Macaca fascicularis: one gene and its partners. The protein of the gene in region 1 interacts with the protein of each later gene in a biochemical or structural test. Links are inferred from orthologs where the notes say so. Each region holds a gene or a part of one and is shown in the gene's direction. Other genes may lie near its edges.

Region 1 (7,639 bases):
CCAAAAAAACAAAAAGAAAGCACTTGGCCTTTGGGTATAATATTGTATCACGTTTGTAGTAGATTTGCTTTCTTAATTATGTTTTGATAGGATTGCTATTAAAGTCAGTTTCTATTCTCTACACACCCCCAAAACAGCGAGGGACTATGACCGGTGGAAATGTCTTGCATGATATGCCTCTGTGGAAAATGAGAGTGGATTGCAAAAGCTCTTCTCCACCCTGTTCTTTTCATCCTGCATAGGTCTTGGTCTATGTCTTACTGATTTCCCATGTTAATTATTTTAACCTTGTCCTCAGTAGCCTCCTTTGTCTCTCATTGCCATAGAAACCCATTCTGCCTTAAGAATGTCTTTCTTGCCTATTCCTTTGACCCAGGCCCTCTACTTAAGTCCTTCTTCAGCTGCAAATCACCTGCTGAATTAAATCTAAGCTCCTTGATCTTGGCTTCCAGGACGTTCTATAATTTGCTTCTCTGTTTTTCTCCTTTTACAAATAATACATTCCTGGAGCAGAGGTTAAAGTAGATCACTGTCAACCAAAATATTAACTGTAATAACTAACATATTTACATAGAACTTAAGAATTAAGTAAAAACATATCCACCTACATTACCTCATTTAAGGCTCATACTCTGCTGTATTATATATAATTATTTTACATTTATATAAATATAGATAAAGCAGATAACATGATCGCATTTTAAGTTCAATAAAACCGGGGCCCAAATAAATTAAATGACTTGCCCTATAAGAATTTATTGGTGCTATGGGTGCTGACGAGTTGGTGGGTGCGGCACACCAACATGGCACAAGTATACGTATGTAACAAACCTGCACGTTATGCACATGTACCCTAAAACTTAAAGTATAATAATAATAAAAAAAATTAAAAAAATTACAGCTACGAAAAAAAAAGAATTTATTGGTGCTGAAGCTACATCTTTCTTTTTTTTTTTTTTTTTTTTGAGACAGCATTTTGCTCTTGTTGCCAAGGCTGGAGTGCAATGGTGCAATCTCAGCTCACCACAACTTCCGCCTCCTGAGTTCAAGCGATTCTCCTGCCTCTGCCTCCCGAGTACTGGGATTACAGGCATGCACCACTATGCCCGGCTAATTTTGTATTTTTAGTAGAGACGGAGTTTCTCCATGTTGGTCATGCTGGTCTCGAACTCCCGACCTCAGGTGATCTGCCTGCCTCCGCCTCCCAAAGTGCTGGGATTATGGGCACAAGCCACCATAACCGGCCAAAGCTACATCTTAAACTCTAATCTTCAGGCTCCCAGGCCATGCATGTTATATTACACAATGTGATGAATAATCCTGTATTTACCAAAAGTGTTTTTGGTTTACATGCTGTGGCAGGCAGAATTCCAGGATATCCTCCAAGATCTCCTCCTCACCCCACCCCCACAGTACATGACCTACATAACCCCTGGGGCCGTGACTATGAAGAGAGATCACTCCCCTGATTCTGTTATGCGGTGTGGCAGAGTTGATCTTTTTTTTTTTTTTTTGGAGACAGAATTTTACTGTCACGCAGGCTGGAGTGCAATGATGCCATCTCGGCTCACAGCAACCTCCACCTCCTGGGTTAAAGCAATTCTTGTATCTCAGCCTCCCTAGTAGCTGGGAAAACAGGAGCACACCACCACACCCAGCTTTTTTTTTTTTTTTTTTTTTTTTTTTTTTTTTTGAGACGGAGTCTCACTCTGTCGCCAGGCTGGAGTGCAGTGGCGTGATCTCGGCTCACTGCAAGCTCCATCTCCCGATTCACACGATTCTCCTGCCTCAGCCTCCCGAGTAGCCGGGACTACAGGAGCACACCACCACACCCAGATAATTTTTGTATTTTTAGTAGAGACAGAGTTTCACCATGTTGCCCAGGCTAGTGTGGAACTCCTGAGCTCAGACAATCCGACCGCCCCGGCTTCCCAAAGTGCTAGGATTACAGGTGTGAGCTACCGCGCCCGGCCAAGAGTTGATCTCAAAACAGGGAGATTATCCAGGTGAGCCTGATCTAATCACACGAGCCCTTTAAAAGCAGAGCATTTTTTCTCCAACGGTGGCAGAAGAGGAGACAGAAAGATGTGCTTCAGCTGGCCCGGGAGCAAGCAAACATCCATGTTGTGAACTACCAATAAATAGGGTTCATGTGGGAAGGAGTTGAGAGTGATCCCTAGGAGCTGAGGGTGGCCACCACTAGCAGCACACAACAAAACAGGGAAGTCGATCCCACAACCGCCAGGAACTGATTTCTGCAAACAAGAATGAATTAGAAGATGGATTTTTCTCCAGAGCCTCCTATGAGATTTCAGCCTTGTCATACCCTGGGCAGGGAACCCAGACGCTCGGTAAATTACCAAGGATTACAAAATATCTCCCCAGGAGATTGTTTTGGGTGGTAAGAGGATACGGTTTAAAGAAAAGTTTTGAGTATGAATGTTTTCAGAGTCCAAGAACTCTCCATTAGCCAGTCTCACTATTACCTATCGTTTTAAACTCCCTATCACCCTTTCACTTACAGTAGCTGTCCCGGGGAAGCTTTTGTATTTTGTACCCTTTCTGGGGGAATGGGGCTGAGTAAGGAACGTAATAAAGCGGCCTAAACAGCATCTCCCTCTATCTTTGATATTTGGCCTAGGGAACGCCCTATCATGTCGCATATAAGCGATCGAGTTATGTATTTGTTGCTAGCTGAAGAGATTATTCCTTGATAACCGCTTGGTCCGGTCAGAATAGAAACGAATGGTACTCACGTTCAAAGAACTACAAATCCCAGAAGGCCTTTCGGCCAGAGCGCCTGCGCATCGCGCGCTCCTTCCTTTCCGCTCCTCATCATCTGGAAAGACCCGCCCCGCGGTGCTGTCGCTCGCGCTGGAAGAAGCGGAAGAAGATGGCGCTCACCAGGTGGGTTGTTGATTGGGGTCCTCGATACGGAAGGGTCTGGGAGTACCAATCTTTTTCATTTCTCTTCCCATACTCTTGGGGCGGTGACCTGACCCGGGGCACAGAATGACGTGGGCCAAAACTACGGCTACGTCCTCCCGCTGGCCGCCGCTACGACTAGGCCTAGTCGAAGCTGGGGTCTTTCCGCGGTTTCCCGGGTTTAGTTCACCCCTCACCGAGGCCGAAAGCCGCGGCGTGGCCTCAGACACTGAAGACTGCATTTTTCGCTTAAGCATCTTGCGGGGAGCGAACAACGCTCCCTCAGGTCCGCGGCTCGGGCGAACAAGAAGGGGTTGGGGACGGTAGTGGCTTATTTGGGCGGAGTGAAGCGCACGGGCTGCGACTGCGCGGCTTTCCGGCCGTTTGCCTGTGTCCCGAAACAAGGATTCCTGAAAAAAGGGACCCGGAGCTGAACAGAGATTTAAATGAGCCACACTAGTGGCAGCTGTCTGCTGATATGCGCCACTGCTCCGCACTTTAACTTTGGAGCTTAGAATTTCTTCCGTAGATAGAACCACCTCAGAGTTTTGCTGTTTTCGGTTACCTTAGTAACTGTCTGTAAAGTGCTCCTTGCCTTTAAGAAAAAGATGCTTTCCAGTGGGAGAGTCCGAGAAGTTACGCTACCCCTGCTAGTCCCCAACCTTGCTGCCCCACCTTAAGTGGGAAAACTTTCCATGCGAACTGAACAGGAAAAGTCTAGTGTTCAGGAAGGTTGTAGAGAAAGTAGTCCTTTTAGGACATCAACTTGAGCCCTCTTAACACCCTTCATTCTCCTCACGCATGTTTTTTTGTTTTTTTTGTTTTTTTCTGGCTGATGACAGTATGAATCCAAAAACTTACTTTGGGAATTACTGTTGGTGCTTTGCTCTGTCCTGGGGATTGTGTACACAGAAGAAAATCTGTCTTTGGCAACAGGGAAGATGGGGTACAAGGTATACAGACATAAAACAATCACAGAACACAAAATGCACATTTGTGTTATACTAACCTTAGTGCAAAAAGAATTAGATGGAATAAGTTGTGTGGGCTGGAGAGTTTTCTTTCCCCTCTCCTTTCTAAAAATTTTTTTGCCTTTTTTTTAAAAAAACTATTTTTTTGAGATGGAGTCTTGCTGTGTTGGCCAGGTTGGTCTTTAACTCTTGGCCTCAAAGCAGTCCTCCTGTTTCGGCCTCCAAAAGTGCCAGGCGTGAGCCACCATGCCCGGCATCTGAATTTTTTTTTTTAATAAAAAGCTAGAAATGGGGTGTCACTGCGTTGGCCAGGGTGGTCTTCAACTCCTGGCCTCCATCAGTCTTCTCACCTAGGCTTCCCAAACTGCTGGGATTGCAGGCATGAGCTACCATGCCCAGCCAAGAGTTTTTTCTTTAGTAAATGTTACAGGCAGCAAACATTTGAGTACCCTCCAGGTGTGAGACACTGTGTCATAGACTAGTAAAGTTATGAGGGGAGACTTAGTGGAAAAGGTGGAATTTGAAATGGACACACAGGAAAAATTTCTAGAGATGTGATGGGTATTTTTTTATTTTATTTTTTGATGCAGGGTCTCACTCTTGCCCAGGCTGGAGTGCAGTGACCCAATCACAGCCCACTGCATCTTCAACCTCCCAAGGCTCAGGTGATCCTCCTGCCTCAGAGTAGCTGGGACTATAGACGCTTGCCTTGATGCCCAGTTAATTTTTGGTTTTTTAGTAGAGGTGGGGTTTTGCCATGTTGCCCAGCCTGTTCTTGAACTGGGCTTAGGTGATCCACCCATCTCAGCCACCACATCGTGTGGCCTGTCATGGGTATTGTGTGCTTAAAATTGCAATGGCAGAATGCAGTATTCAAATGACCAGTCTTGGGGACTCCAGAGCTTTCCATACCTACCATCTGGGGTTCCTCAGTATTCTTTGTAACATCCTTTAAACCAGTAAACGCATTTCCCTGAGTTCTGTGAGCTACCCTAGCAAATTAGTTGAACCTGAGGATGAGGTCATGGGAACCCTGGTTTGTAGTCAGTTGGCCGGTGACCTGGACCTACTATTGGCATCTGAAGTAAGGGCAGTCTTGAGGGACTGAGCCCTCGACCTGTGACATCTGACACTATCTCCAGGTAGATAACATCAAAAATGAATTGAATTAGAGGACACTTGACTGGTGTCCAGTAAACAATTGATAGCTTGCTTGATACGTGGGGAAAAACCATCATGTATCTGGTATCAGAAGTGTTGTGTGTTGTTGATTGTTGAGTGAAATAATAGGAGAAACTGAATTTGTTTTAATTTTATACTCTATCCACATGGAGCTTACATTCTACTGGGATAGAAAGACTATGAGTAAAATCATAATGCAATTTCAGGTAATACACGCTAGGAATAAAAGAGGGTTAGAGAGTGACTCAAAGTTTGGGGTGAAGTGGCTATTTTGGGTAAGATGGTCAGAAAACAGCTCTAGAGAGAGGTAACTGAGCAGAGACATGAGTGCTAAGATGCAAGCTGTTGAAAGATCTGGGGCTACTCTAGGCATACTGCCTATGGGATAGCCCTGCTCCTCAAGGAGCAGTCACAGAAGAAGACATCTGGAGAAGAGTTTTCTATAAAAGCATACGAAAATTTGTTCTGTGTTTTCGTTTTTGTTTTTTTGGTTATGTTTTGTTTTGTTTTGTTTTGTTTTTTGAGGCAGAGTCTCACTCTCACCCAGGCTGGAGTGCAGTGGAGCAATCTCAGCTCACTGCAAACTCCACCTCCCAGGTTCAAGTGATTTTCCTGCCTCAGCTGGGATTACAGGCATCCGCCACCATGCCTGGCTAATTTTTGTATTTTTAGTAGAGACAGGGCTTCACTATGTTGGCATGGCTGGTCTTGAACTCCTGGCCTCAAGTAATCCACCTGCTTTGACCTCCCAAAGTGTTGGGATTACAGGTGTGAGCCACCTCGCCCAGCCGGAAAAACTGTAATCGATTGAGACAGACAGACAGATAGATTTTATGGCAGAAGGAATAGCCAATGTAAAGATCCTGAGATGGCTTAAGGTAAGATAAGAAGGCTATAGCGAAATGAAGATGGTGAGTGCCGGGGAAGAGTGTATTTATTTCTCCTACAGCATTTAAGGAGCTCCAGCTGTGAAGTTAAAAGTCTTGGAGCATTAGGGATGAAAGAAGTATAAGGTGTGATTCCTGCAGAGCTGCTCACAGTCTTGTGAAAACAGAGTAGATAAATGAGTAGATGATTGCAGTACAGTAAGATAATGTTGTAGTAGTGGTATATAGAGGGTTGTAGGGGAGCATAGAGACGGGCATTTAACCCAAACTGGAAGAGTCATGGTACAGCCCTAAAACTATCAAACATACGGAACCTGTATTGAAAGTGCCTAGATACTATGCCAACAGGTTCATGGATTTCTCTCATTTAATATTTATAAGAACCTTATGAAGTAGATACTCTTATGAACTATTATTACAGATGAGAAAACAGATTCAGAGAGGTAAGTAGCTTATCCAGGTTAGTAAGTGGCATAGGTCAGATCTGAAATCTAAGCCTAGCCATCACTTACCGCCCCAGACTGGATTAGATCCCTATCATGTAGACTCATAGCATCTTAGTATCTTAACATCATAACTTAACATGTGTAATTATAGATTTGTGTGATTTTTTTTTTTTGTTCTCTGTCTCTGCAAGACTCCGTTTATAGTCTCATGCCTAGCATAGTGCTTGAACCCAAATAATAAATATTTTTGAATAATTAATAAGCTCTGCTACTTAGGTATGCTTCCTATCCAAGAATCACAAAGGAACTAAGGTTGTTTTCTCCATATTCAGCCATCAGGATCCTTTTGTAGTACTTTAGAGTATCACTATAATACTTTAATACTTAAAAGTTGTTAAGAACAGTTTAGTAGAAAGGTTACCTTGACTAAAGAATAAGCTGCATCTTCAGGGCTTCTGCTTTGATTCTTTGGTCTCTTAAGGTTTTTTTTTGTTGTTGTTTGTTTGTTTTAGAAGGAGTTTTGCTGTTGTTGCCCAGGCTAGAGTGCAATGACGCAATCTTGGCTCACTGTACCCTCCACCTACCGGGTTCAAGTGATTCTCCTACCTCAGCCTCCCAAGTGGCTGGGATTACAGGCACGCACCATCACGCCCGGCTAATTTTGTATTTTTAGTAGAGACAGGGTTTCACCATGTTGGTCAGGCTGGTCTTGAACTCCTGACCTCAGGTGATCCACCCACCTCGGCCTCCCAAAGTGCTGGGATTACAGGTGTGAGCCACCATGGCTGGCCTGGCCTCTAAGTTTTAAATTTCATTCTAGATTCCCTTGGCACTTAAATATACAACTCGTGTTTATTTTAGCTACCTCTTTGTTCTAATCCTAGTTCTTTTGTATTTACACTGAAGTAGTTTAAGGAGCATAAGGGTAAAAATGTTAAAAATAAGGAGTAGCCAGGCATGGTGGCTCATGCCAGTAATCCTAGTACTTTGGGAGGGTGAGGCTGATGGATCACTTGAGGTCAGGAGTTTGAGACCAGCCTGACCAACATGGGCCAACATGACAAAAACCTGTCTCTACTAAAAATACAAAAATTAGGGGTGTGGTGGCACGCACCTGTAATCCCAGCTCCTTGGGAGACTGAGGCATGAGAATCACATGAATCCAGGAGACAGAGGTTTCAGTGAGCCGAGTTTGCTCCACTGCACTCGAGGCTGGGCAACAGCACGA
Region 2 (4,747 bases), on another chromosome or scaffold:
CAACAGAGGAAGGAGTTCCAGGATCCATACAACCCAAGATGTGCCCCCTTCACAAGGACTGGGGATATCCCTGGCTCCACAGAGTATGGCTGTTTCTTTTTTGTAGCTCTAGGGGGACCAGATCAGGGATGGCCGTATGTTCTAGTCTCACTTGTACCACAGGCAGGAAGTTGGGGAGCCCGCAAGGAGATGGGGTCTTGGGGTAAAGGGGGGATGTCTACCCATCTCAGGGAATTGGGGGTTGAGGAAGCACAGGCTTTGGCAGGAATAAAGATGAGTGAGCCAGACAAGGCTATTGGAATCCTCACCCCAGAACCAAAGGGGTCAGCCCTGGACACTTCACCCAGGGTGTGGCATCTTCTTACTCCTGTTTCCAGATCTCAGAGAGGTGAGGACCTTGTTCTCAGAGGGTGACTCGGGTCAACATAGGGACCCCCATCTGGTCTAAAGACAGAGCAGTCCTACGATCTGCCATGCATTTGGGTGAGGAACATGAGGGAGGATTGAGGATACCCCAGGGCCAGAACACTGACAGAGACCGCACAGAAATCAGCTCTGCCCCTGCTGTCACCCCAGAGAGCATGGGCTGGGTCGTCTGCCAAGGTCCCTCTCTTATCTTGGGATCATTGATGTCAGGGAGGGGGAGGCCTTGATCTGAGAAGGCTTCACTCAGGTCAGTAGAGGGAGAGTCCCAGGCCCTGCCAGGAGTCAAGGTGAGGACCAAACAGGCGCCTCACCCAGGACACATTAATTCCAATGAATTTTGATATCTCTTGCTGTCCTTCCCCGAGGACCTAGGCCCGAGTGGCCAGATGTGGGTCCCCTCCTGTCTTTCTGTTCCTTATCATGGATGTGAGCTCTTTATTTGGATTTCTCAGACCAGCAAAAGGGTGGGATCCAGGTCCTGCCAGGAAAAATGCAAGGGCCCTGCGTGAGAACAGAGGGGATCATCCACCGCATGAGAGTGGGGATGTCACAGAGTCCAGCCCACCCTCCTAATAGCACTGAGGGCCCAGGGCTGTGCTTGCAGTCTGCACCCTGAGGGCCCGTGGATTCCTCTTCCAGGAGCTCCAAGAACCAGGCAGTGAGGCCTTGGTTTGAGACAGTGTCCTCAGATCACAGAGCAGAGGACGCACAGGCTGTGCCAGCAGTCAACGTTTGCCCTGAATGCACACCAAGGGCCCCGCCTGCCGCAGGACACATGGAACTCCACAGAGTCTGGCCTCACCTCCCTACCGTCAGTCCTGTAGAATCGACCTCTGCTGGCCGGCTGTACCCTGAGTGCCCTCTCACTTCCTCCTTCAGGTTTTCAGGGGACAGGCCAACCTGGAGGACAGGATTCCCTGGAGGCCACAGAGGAGCACCAAGGAGAAGATCTGTAAGTAGGCCTTTATTAGAGTCTCCAAGGTTCAGTTCTCAGCTGAGGCCTCTCACACACTCCCTCTCTCTCCAGGCCCGTGGGTCTTCATTGCCCAGCTCCTGTACACTCCTGCCTGCTGCCCTGACCAGAGTCATCATGTCTCTTGAGCAGAGGAGTCTGCACTACAAGCCTGAGGAAGCCCTTGAGGCCCAACAAGAGGCCCTGGGGCTGGTGTGTGTGCAGGCTGCCGCCTCCTCCTCCTCTCCTCTGGTCCTGGGCACCCTGGAGGAGGTGCCTACTGCTGGGTCAACAGATCCCCCCCAGACTCCTCAGGGAGCCTCCGCCTTTCCCACTACCATCAACTTCCCTCGCTGGAGGCAACCCAATGAGAGTTCCAGCAGCCATGAAGAAGAAGGGCCAAGCACCTCGCGTGTCCTGGAGTCCTTGTTCCGAGCAGTACTCACTAAGAAGGTGGCTGATTTGGTTCGTTTTCTGCTCCTCAAGTATCGAGCCAGGGAGCCGGTCACAAAGGCAGAAATGCTGGAGAGAGTCATCAAAAATTACAAGCACTGCTTTCCTGTGATCTTCGGCAAAGCCTCTGAGTCCTTGCAACTGGTCTTTGGCATTGACGTGAAGGAAGCAGACTCCACCGGCCACTCCTATGTCCTTGTCACCTGCCTGGGGCTCTCCTATGACGGCCTGCTGGGTGATAATCAGATCATGCCCAAGACAGGCTTCCTGATAATCATCCTGGTTATGATTGCAATGGAGGGCGGCCGTGCTCCTGAGGAGGAAATCTGGGAAGAGCTGAATGTGATGGAGGTGTATGATGGGAGGGAGCACAGTGCCTATGGGGAGCCCAGGAAGCTGCTCACCCAAGATTTGGTGCAGGAAAAGTACCTGGAGTACCGGCAGGTGCCCTACAGTGATCCTGCACGCTATGAGTTCCTGTGGGGTCCAAGGGCCCTCGCTGAAACCAGCTATGTGAAAGTCCTTGAGTATGTGATCAAGGTCAGTGCAAGAGTTCGCTTTTTCTTCCCATCCCTGCGTGAAGCAGCTTTGAGACAGGAGGGAGCAGCTTTGAGAGAGGATGAAGAGGGAGTCTGAACATGAGTTGCAGCCAAGGCCAGTGGGAGGGGGGCTGGGCTAGTGCACCTTCAAGGACCGTGTCCAGCAGCTTTCCCTGCCTCGTGTGATGTGAGGCCCATTCTTCACTCTGTTTGAAGAGAGCAGTCAGCATTCTCAGTAGTAGGTTTCTGTTCTATTGGATGACTTGGAGATTTATCTTTGTTCTCTTTTGGAATTGTTCAAGTGTTCCTTTTAAGGAATGGTTGAATGAACTTCAGCATCCAAGTTTATGAATGACAGTAGTCACACATAGTGCCGTGTATATAGTTGAGTAGTAAGAGTCTTGTGTTTCATTCAGATTGGGAAATCCATTCTATTTTGTGAATTGGGATAATAACAGCAGTGGAATAAGTATTTACTTAGAAATGTGAAAAATGAGCAGTAAAATAGATGAGATAAAGAACTAAAGAAATTAAGAGATAGTCAATTCTTTTTTTTTTTTTTTTTTTTTTTTTTTGAGACGGAGTCTCACTCTGTCGCCCAGGCTGGAGTGCAGTGGCGCGATCTCGGCTCACTGCAAGCTCCGCTTCCCGGGTTCACGCCATTCTCCTGCCTCAGCCTCCCGAGTAGCTGGGAGTACAGGCGCCCACAACCACGCCCGGCTAATTTTTTGTATTTTTAGTAGAGACGGGGTTTCACCGTGGTCTCGATCTCCTGACCTTGTGATCCGCCCGCCTCGGCCTCCCAAAGTGCTGGGATTACAGGCGTGAGCCACCGCGCCCGGCCGAGATAGTCAATTCTTGCCTTATACCTCAGTCTATTCTGTAACATTTTTAAAGATATATGCATACCTGGATTTCCTTGGCTGCTTTGAGAATGTAGGAGAAATTAAATCTGAATAAAGAATTCTTCCTGTTCACTGGCTCCTTTCTTCTCCATGCACTGAGCAGCTGCTTTTTGGAAGGCCCTGAGTTAGTAGTGGAGATGCTAAGGTAAGCCAGACTCATGCCTACCCATAGGGTTGTAGAGTCTAAGAGCTGCAGTCACGCAATCAAGGTGGCAAGATGTCCTCTGAAGATGTAGAGGAAAAGTAAGAGAGAGTGAGGGTGTGGGGCTCCAGGTGAGAGTGGTAGAGTGTAAATGTCCTGAGCTGGGGCATTTTGGGCTTTGGGAAACTGCAGTTCCTTCTGCGGGAGCTGATTGTAAGGATCCTGGGTGGATCCAGGGCCAGATTCTCAGACGGTGAGAGAAAAGCCTGAGTTGGAAAGCTGCTCTGAGGAGTTTCTTTTGGACGGTGGATAAACAGAGAGGAGTCTCCACCTAGGCAGGATTGGAAAGTGTTCTGCGCTTTTTTTTTTTTTTTTTTCCCATTGCTTCTGAACACAGCGCAAGAGCTAGGTGATGGACACCCATCGTCCGAAAGCGTTTCCTGAGAGAGAAGCGTGAATCTCCCCGGAATGGAGATCCAGAAGCCACTGGCCAGGCACTTTTCTACCTGGCTGGGAGGACCAGAGCTGACTCTTAAAAAGGCATTCTAATGAGGTTATCTCACGTGCAATTTGGCCAGTTGTAAGCAAGATTTCGTGTGTTGACAAAATGAATGAAAATAGTGGTTTGGATGGAAAGGTATGTGGGAGAGAGTAAAGGAGTTGGTTTTTGACTCAAATTCTACGATCTTTGAGCTGTATCCGCCTAGGGGAAGTCGCACACCCAAATTTTGAAGTACATTCTCTAAGAGGCAATACTTACTGAATTTTAGGAATGAAACTTCCCTTTTTGGTTAGTTATTCCATGTCCTATTAAGTTGTATATTCTCTGATAAGTCCTGGAGAACAACAACAAAATCCCAGAGTGGTAGGGTCTGGGCTCAAATAATATTAGAAATAACAGCCACCTGCTATCCATTAAACTTGTAATTTACTCCAGGCCCTGAACCAGCTGCTTCACTTGCATGCACACACTCCAACAGTCCTAGCGGAAGGGTCTAATCACACCTACTACACAGATGTAGAACCAGAGGCACGCAGGGCTTGGGTATTTCCCAGGATCACGTGCCTAATAAGGGACAGGGCTGGAACCCGATCCCTGATCTGAATTCCTGTAGAGCCCATGCTGTTCCCACTCCTCCCAGCCTGTGGCCCACCTCCTGAGTACTACTTCCTTTCTCTTCTCAACACTGTGCCATATGTCTCTGGTGACAAAAAGAAAGACCCCGAGGCCAACGTACTAAAAACAGACCAGGGGAAGGTGACAGTGAGAATCAAACATCATTTGAGGCTGGTGTGCACTGGGTTCCTTGAGAGTTGATTCTGCCAAGGC
Region 3 (6,043 bases), on another chromosome or scaffold:
TGGGAGCCGCACAGCCCCGCGCTTCCTTCTATGGAAAATCTGCTCCTCCAGGCTGCCGGGCTGCTGTTACATAAACATCTCTGCTGCCTCCAGACGCCTCCTCTCCTGGGGCGCTGACCCCGAGATGTTACCCCAGGCCTGGAGAAGTGAGGCCAGCTTCTGGGAGGACGCAGGCGAGGGAGGCTCCCAGCAGCAGCTACAGGGGGGGATAGGCCGTCTGCACTGGCTGTTTCCAGAGTGCTCAGCACTTGGCAAGAGGTGTGCCAGGAAAGGCTCGCTGGAGTCAGGTGTGAGATTTGTCCCGCTTTCTGTGCCTCCCTCTGCCACCATGCTCTGCGGTTTCTGCAGCCACTCCCCCAGGCTCCCGAGTCCTAGGTCCCTCTCAGCCTTTCAGTCTCCCTTCAGGGCAGGCATAGCCCTCCTACTCCAGGAGAGCCCCCAGCGCCTTCTGCCATCGCACTCACCACCCTGTGTTGGAGTGGGGAGGGGGCGCTGTTTGTCCCCAGCACGAGGCTGTGAACTTTGCGCAGGGACTATGGCAGGCATTTTGGACTCCTGGCGCTTAACCAGGCTTGGCACAGGGTGCCCGTGCCTGGCATCGTGGTGGAGAAATAAATCAGCCGGAAGGGGCACGTGGGAGGGGCTGCGCCGGCGCCAGCGGCAGATCCGCCCGACCCGTTTGTGCTTTCTGGGGCCACCTTAGGCAGGCGGCGCCCCGGCAGGAGGAGGACGGTGACCGAGGAGCATGTCGACGCGGGTCCCCCCTGGGGCAGCGGGGCGCAATACGTCCGCGAGGCACTGGTCCAGGCTGCTCCCTTGGGGCGCCCTAAACTCCCTGCCCTGAGGCCGCTGCGCCCCCATCCCTCGCGGTCAAGTGCTCAGGCAATCACGGCCAGGGGTGTCTGGCGGCGATCGATCCTCTGGACGCCTAAAGCCGCAGCCACGGGGCCCTGGGGAGGGAGAGAAGCCGCTGGGCTAGGGGCGCACCCACGGCTAGGCCACTTCTCCCAAAGCCCTGCCCCGGGCCCGGGGTCCCCCAACGTGGCCTCAGCTGCTCCCCGCCCGGCCCAGAGCACGGTGGACACAGCTGCCTGCGGCCTCGCCCTCCCTACTCCACCCCGGGCTCCTCCGCTTATTCACATGCAAACTTCCGTCGCCAATTGTCGCCGAGCGCGGCAACGGCCAGAGCCGGATCCTTCCGCAGCCCCGGCTCAAACTTTTGGCCTCTGAAAACTTTCAAACGAGAAGTAGTCCCAGGCGCCCGCTCCCGACCCACGCCGCGCCGCCGGGTCCCTCCTCCCCGGAGAGGCTGGGCTCGGGACGCGCGGCTCAGCTCGGGGAGGCGCAAAGGCGGACCCAGCGCGCGGGAGGAGGCGGCCGCGGAGGGGGCGGGGGGACCGGTGGGGGCGGGGCCGGGCGGGGCGGGGCCGGTGGGGGCGGAGCGCACCTCGACTCTGAGCCTCACTAGTGCCTCGGCCGCGGGAGGGAGCGCAGGGGCGCGGGGCGCGGGGCGCGGGTGCGAGCGCAGCGAAGGAACGAGCCAGGCGCGGAGACGGGCCCGGGAGCCCGCGGGAGCACAGCGCCAACTGCCAGCCGGGGAAGAGAGGGCGGGACTGTCCGCCGCCGCCCCGGGACCGTCCGCCGCGCGTGTGCGTCCCAGCCCCGCCGGCCAGCGCAGGAGGCCGCCGTCCGGGCGCAGAGGGCAGCGGGGGGGAGGCATGCCGCCGCTCCTGGCGCCCCTGCTCTGCCTGGCGCTGCTGCCCGCGCTCGCCGCACGAGGTAGGCGCCCACCCACCCGCGAGCCCCCACTTTCCGCGCTCTTTGGAAACGGCAGCGCCCGGCGCACGCGCCCCGTGGCTGGGAGCGGGCGTGGAGAGGGAAAAGCGGGCGGCCCGGGGCGTGGGGTTCTTGGAGTCCCGGGCTGGGGGAGGACCGACCCTCCCCCTCGATCCCCCCGTGGAGGCGGACTCGCGCCGCCCGTGCCTGGAGCCGAGTTTGGAGGCCGGCGTGAGGTGCTGGGGTCCCGGAGGCCCTACCCGGGCCCGCCCTTCACCCGCCGCGCGTGGGGCTTGCCGCCGGTCGGCCGGGCGGGCGGGCTGCCTACTACTTTTCGATTTGAATAGAGTCGGTTTTGGTTTCCTGTTGCTTCTCCGGGCCATTTATCTTCTTTCTTCTTCGCTTCTGGCCCACGCCGGGGCGGATGTTGGGGCGCGGAGTGTGGGCTCCGCGGCGCCGCGTTCGCCTTCACTGACCCGCGCGGCCCGGCTGGGGCCCCGGGCTCCCGGTCGCCCCGCCCGCCGGTGCCCCCCAGCCCAGCTCTCAGTTTGGGGGAGGGGTTTGCGTAAGAAGCCTTCGTGCCGGGGGGCACTGAACTTTTCCTTTTGCTTTGCAGAGTTGAAGTTTGGAGAGCTTGGGGGTGGAGAGCGGGACGCGGGTGGGGGGCTCTTACATCTCTCCTCGCCGCACATCGAGGGGGGTCTCTGGGGAATCGAGTGATTAATCCACTCTTTCTCCGGGAGTTGCAGGCGAGAATTATTTGTTCTCTTCCAGAAAGTGCTGCTCTATGTCACACCACCCTCCCCCGTTTCTCAGCCCCCTAAGATGGGGAGGGAGGGGCTTGAGTAATTGATCCCTTCTCGAGATGGGGTCGAATTCCTTCCGAATGGGGGACCTTCATCCCCCTCCTGTGTGTGTTTGGGGGCTGCCCTAGAGATGCGCGCCCGCGGGAGCAGGTATTGGGTGTCGGCGGAGGCGGGGCCGGGTCTCCGGGGTGCAGTCCTGGTGCCCCTGGAGGCGGCCCCGACTCCACAATGGGCCGCTCTGATTCTGAGGCGGAGGCCGGCGCTTTGTTGGCGGGCGGGGCAGCGGGCGAGCAGCTGTCGCATTTTCCCACGGGCGGGAGCTGAGTGTGGCCACCCCCCCTTCCCGCCGTCCAGCTCTGCCCCCTTGCAGAACGGGTTTGAACAGAGGCAATCTCGGCGGCTGGATGGGGGGCCCTGCTCTGCCAGCCTCCCCAGTGAGCCTCTGGGGTGGGGGGCAACGCTTGGGAGAGTAGCCCACTTTGTCTCTGCTTTTACCCCACTGCGTCCAGGCGGCACGTCAGGCCACCCCATCCTGCTTCAAGCAGGACGTGTTCCCTGCTGCTCCTCTTCCCCCCATTTCTGACTACAGAACTCTGGGCAGAATGTTGACGCCCTTTGGTTTCATGGTGGGGCTTCCTGTGGTCCCCTGCCCTGGTAACCCATGTCACTGAGTAGAGGCGTCCAGGGTCGGGGGAGGACAGTGCCCCTCGGCTGGGTGCGGGTCCCACCCCCAGGGTAACAAGGGCCTTCGGTGGTGCGGGTGAGACTGACCTCTCTTCTCCTGCCCCTGCCTAGGCCCGCGGTGCTCCCAGCCGGGTGAGACCTGCCTGAATGGCGGGAAGTGTGAAGCGGCCAATGGCACGGAGGCCTGCGTGTGAGTACCACCCCTGCGGGACCTGTTGCTTTGTTGAGGGCAGAGCCCCTGCCTTCTGCAGCCGCGCTGGGGACAGAACCCTGGGGCATTGTCTTCTGGAGATGGCCCAGAGTCTGGGCACGGTCACGTGCTGACTTTTATTGGACAAAGTCTGGCAATTACTTAATCACCAGCAATTATGCTGCGTGTGGAGCTGGTCTGACTGCTGGGGGCTTAGGCACTCCTCTGTGGGCCACCTCAGGCTCCTGGGTTACTAAGTGGGAGTCCCAGGACCCCAATTCTTCTTAAAGTCCCCAAGAAACAGTTGATCTGTCAGGGGAAGCTCTGGACCATTTACTGAGAAGCCCAGACCCCACCACCCTGCCAACTTGGGGCACCTCCTCTGGGCGGGTGATGCCTCCTGGGCAGGTGATGATGCCTCCTGGGCACAGGTGATGCCTCCTCTCCAGGGGTGATGCCTCCTGGGTGGGTGGTGATGCCTCTTGGGCTGGTGGTGATGCCTCCTCTTGATGGGTGATGCCTCCTCTGGGCACAGGTGATGCCCCCTGGGTGGGTGATACCCTCTATGGGTGGGTGATGCCTTCTGGGCTGGTGGTGATACCTCCTGGGCACAGGTGATGCCTCCTGGGCTGGTGGTGATGCCTCCTCTGGGTGGGTGATGCCTCCTTTGGGCACAGGTGATGCCACCTCTGGGTGGGTGATGCCCCCTCTGGGCGGGTGATGCCTCTTTGAAGGAAATTGACCCTTCACAATTGGACCCGCCTTTGGGCTCTTGTTTGCCCCAGCTCCCTCCTCCCGGCCTCAGGCTGGGGCTGGGGAAGAGAAGGCGGAACTCATCTTTTGGCGCGGGGTGTGGGGTAATTATTGAGTCTGGTTTCTGTCCTGGCATCTGCAAACTCTGACCTCCAAATCCCGTGGCCCTTTTGGTCTGCCAGGCTCAGATGTAAAATGGGCATGGAGGGGGCTGGGAAGTCGCGGGGAACCGCTCCCTCCTGCCTGCCTGTGAGTGCCAGTCGGCGGTGGGGAACTGTTCTGCTGTGGCCGATGCCCTTCAACTTGAGTCCATCCCTGATGAGAATAATGAGGAGGTGTTTGGTGGCTGGAAAAAGAGTTCCCTCCGCCCCCCAGGAGCTACAGATGAAGAAATGGCTCCCCAGCCAGTCTGGGCGCCCTCATTCCAACTGTAGAAGGTCCCATTCCCTTGACAACCCCAGCCCGGCTCCTGCCTGCGCCGACTGCCCAGCCTGTGGGCAGCAGCCCCCCTCCCTCCCCGGCCCCCACCCTCCCCAAACTGAAGCCAATTAAGCAGGTCCGTGAGCAGTTTAATGGACAAAGCCGGCTGTGTCTTTGTCAGACACTAATGAATGCGCACACTACTTTTTTTTTTTTTTTTTTTTTTTGCTTTTTGGGGCCCCCTTCTCCCCCTGCAGAAGCCGCACGGACGCTTGATGCCCTAAATCTTGTTTCCTTTCATTCAGAGACCGACAGCTGGGATCCAGGGGAAGTGCAGCAGCTATTGTTGGGGGAGGCGGATTAATGCCGTGTGATTAATTATGCGTGGCTTCCCAGAATGTATAACCCCGTTCCCCGCCACCGCGCTCCCGGCTCGGACTTTGCCTCCACCCATTCAGGTCTCTGGGAGAAGCTTCTTGCTCCTGCAGAGGACTTTGGGAGGGTGGGAGGAATGCCGTGCTGGGAAAATTGGGGGCCTGTTGCTTCTTCTCAGTGGCACTAGGCAGTAGGAACAGCTTGGCCCACAGGGATCTGGGACTGAGGTCTCCACAGGCCAGAGGGCTGTGCTTTGGGGTACAGATGGCTGCAGCTCCCTGATGTCTGGGCCAAAACCCTGCCACAGGGCCGCAAAACACTTGTGTCATGGGCCCACTCTCCCATTCCCCAAACCTGGGATCCTGGTGAGCTGTTTCCTGCCCAAGGCAGGCCACTGACCAGGGCTTTGGTGCCTGGCCTTGTCCCCTTCGCTGGGGCCTGGCGCCCCCTCCTTCTTGGCGGGAAGCCTGCTTCAGTTTGGCCTGACAGGCAGCCGAGCTCAGCCCACAGAGACCCCATTGTGCACACCCCACAAGTCCAACGAGAAGATGGGACGGAAGTGCGTCCTCAGGCTCCCGCCTCTGGGCTGCAGGGTTGGAGGCCAGGGCCACAGCCGGGCCCGGCTTGCGGAGGCACAGGTCAGGGCTCACCCAGCAGTTTGGGGAGCATTGCGGCCGCTTCCTCCCTGGCCTTGAGCCCCACCCAACGTACACCCCTCAGGCGCCTCCGCCTTCCCATTCCTGCTTGTCCTTCTCAGAAGGCCCAGGAGGTCTGTCCAGGAGTTGGCCAGGGCACCTGCAGGAAGCCTGGCTCTCCCAGCAAGGGGAGAAACCCACACTGTTTCTCGAAAGCATTTGGGGTGCAGGCTTTTGGAGCCCTGCCAGCCTGCGTGTGAATCCCGGCCCCGTGGTATCCAGCTGTGAGCCCGGAAAGAGCTTTGATTTTTGGTGCCAGTTGCTACTTCTGCTGTAGAAGGGGCCTGGTCTTGCTGGGGGTTACAGTGCCTGGCACACTAGTACTGGGTGAATCATTTCTTTCC

What was found.
Region 2: the proteins of SNW1 (region 1) and melanoma-associated antigen 1 form a complex in vitro, tested with the Homo sapiens proteins (2 studies listed by BioGRID). The link is inferred for Macaca fascicularis from reciprocal best matches to the Homo sapiens genes SNW1 and MAGEA1.
Region 3: the proteins of SNW1 (region 1) and NOTCH1 form a complex in vitro, tested with the Homo sapiens proteins (3 studies listed by BioGRID). The link is inferred for Macaca fascicularis from reciprocal best matches to the Homo sapiens genes SNW1 and NOTCH1.

The regions. Positions count from the first base shown.
Region 1 is NC_088381.1:145,712,715-145,720,353, reverse strand, and holds the start of SNW1 (SNW domain-containing protein 1), read left to right. Parts: upstream 1-2,864; 5' UTR 2,865-2,893; coding exon 2,894-2,907; exon of another isoform or gene 2,908-3,271; intron 3,272-7,639. UniProt on the Homo sapiens protein: Involved in pre-mRNA splicing as component of the spliceosome. As a component of the minor spliceosome, involved in the splicing of U12-type introns in pre-mRNAs.
Region 2 is NC_088395.1:159,218,225-159,222,971, forward strand, and holds melanoma-associated antigen 1, read left to right. Parts: upstream 1-1,484; 5' UTR 1,485-1,516; coding exon 1,517-2,467; downstream 2,468-4,747.
Region 3 is NC_088389.1:2,814,447-2,820,489, forward strand, and holds the start of NOTCH1 (neurogenic locus notch homolog protein 1), read left to right. Parts: upstream 1-1,463; 5' UTR 1,464-1,718; coding exon 1,719-1,779; intron 1,780-3,377; coding exon 3,378-3,456; intron 3,457-6,043. UniProt on the Homo sapiens protein: Functions as a receptor for membrane-bound ligands Jagged-1 (JAG1), Jagged-2 (JAG2) and Delta-1 (DLL1) to regulate cell-fate determination.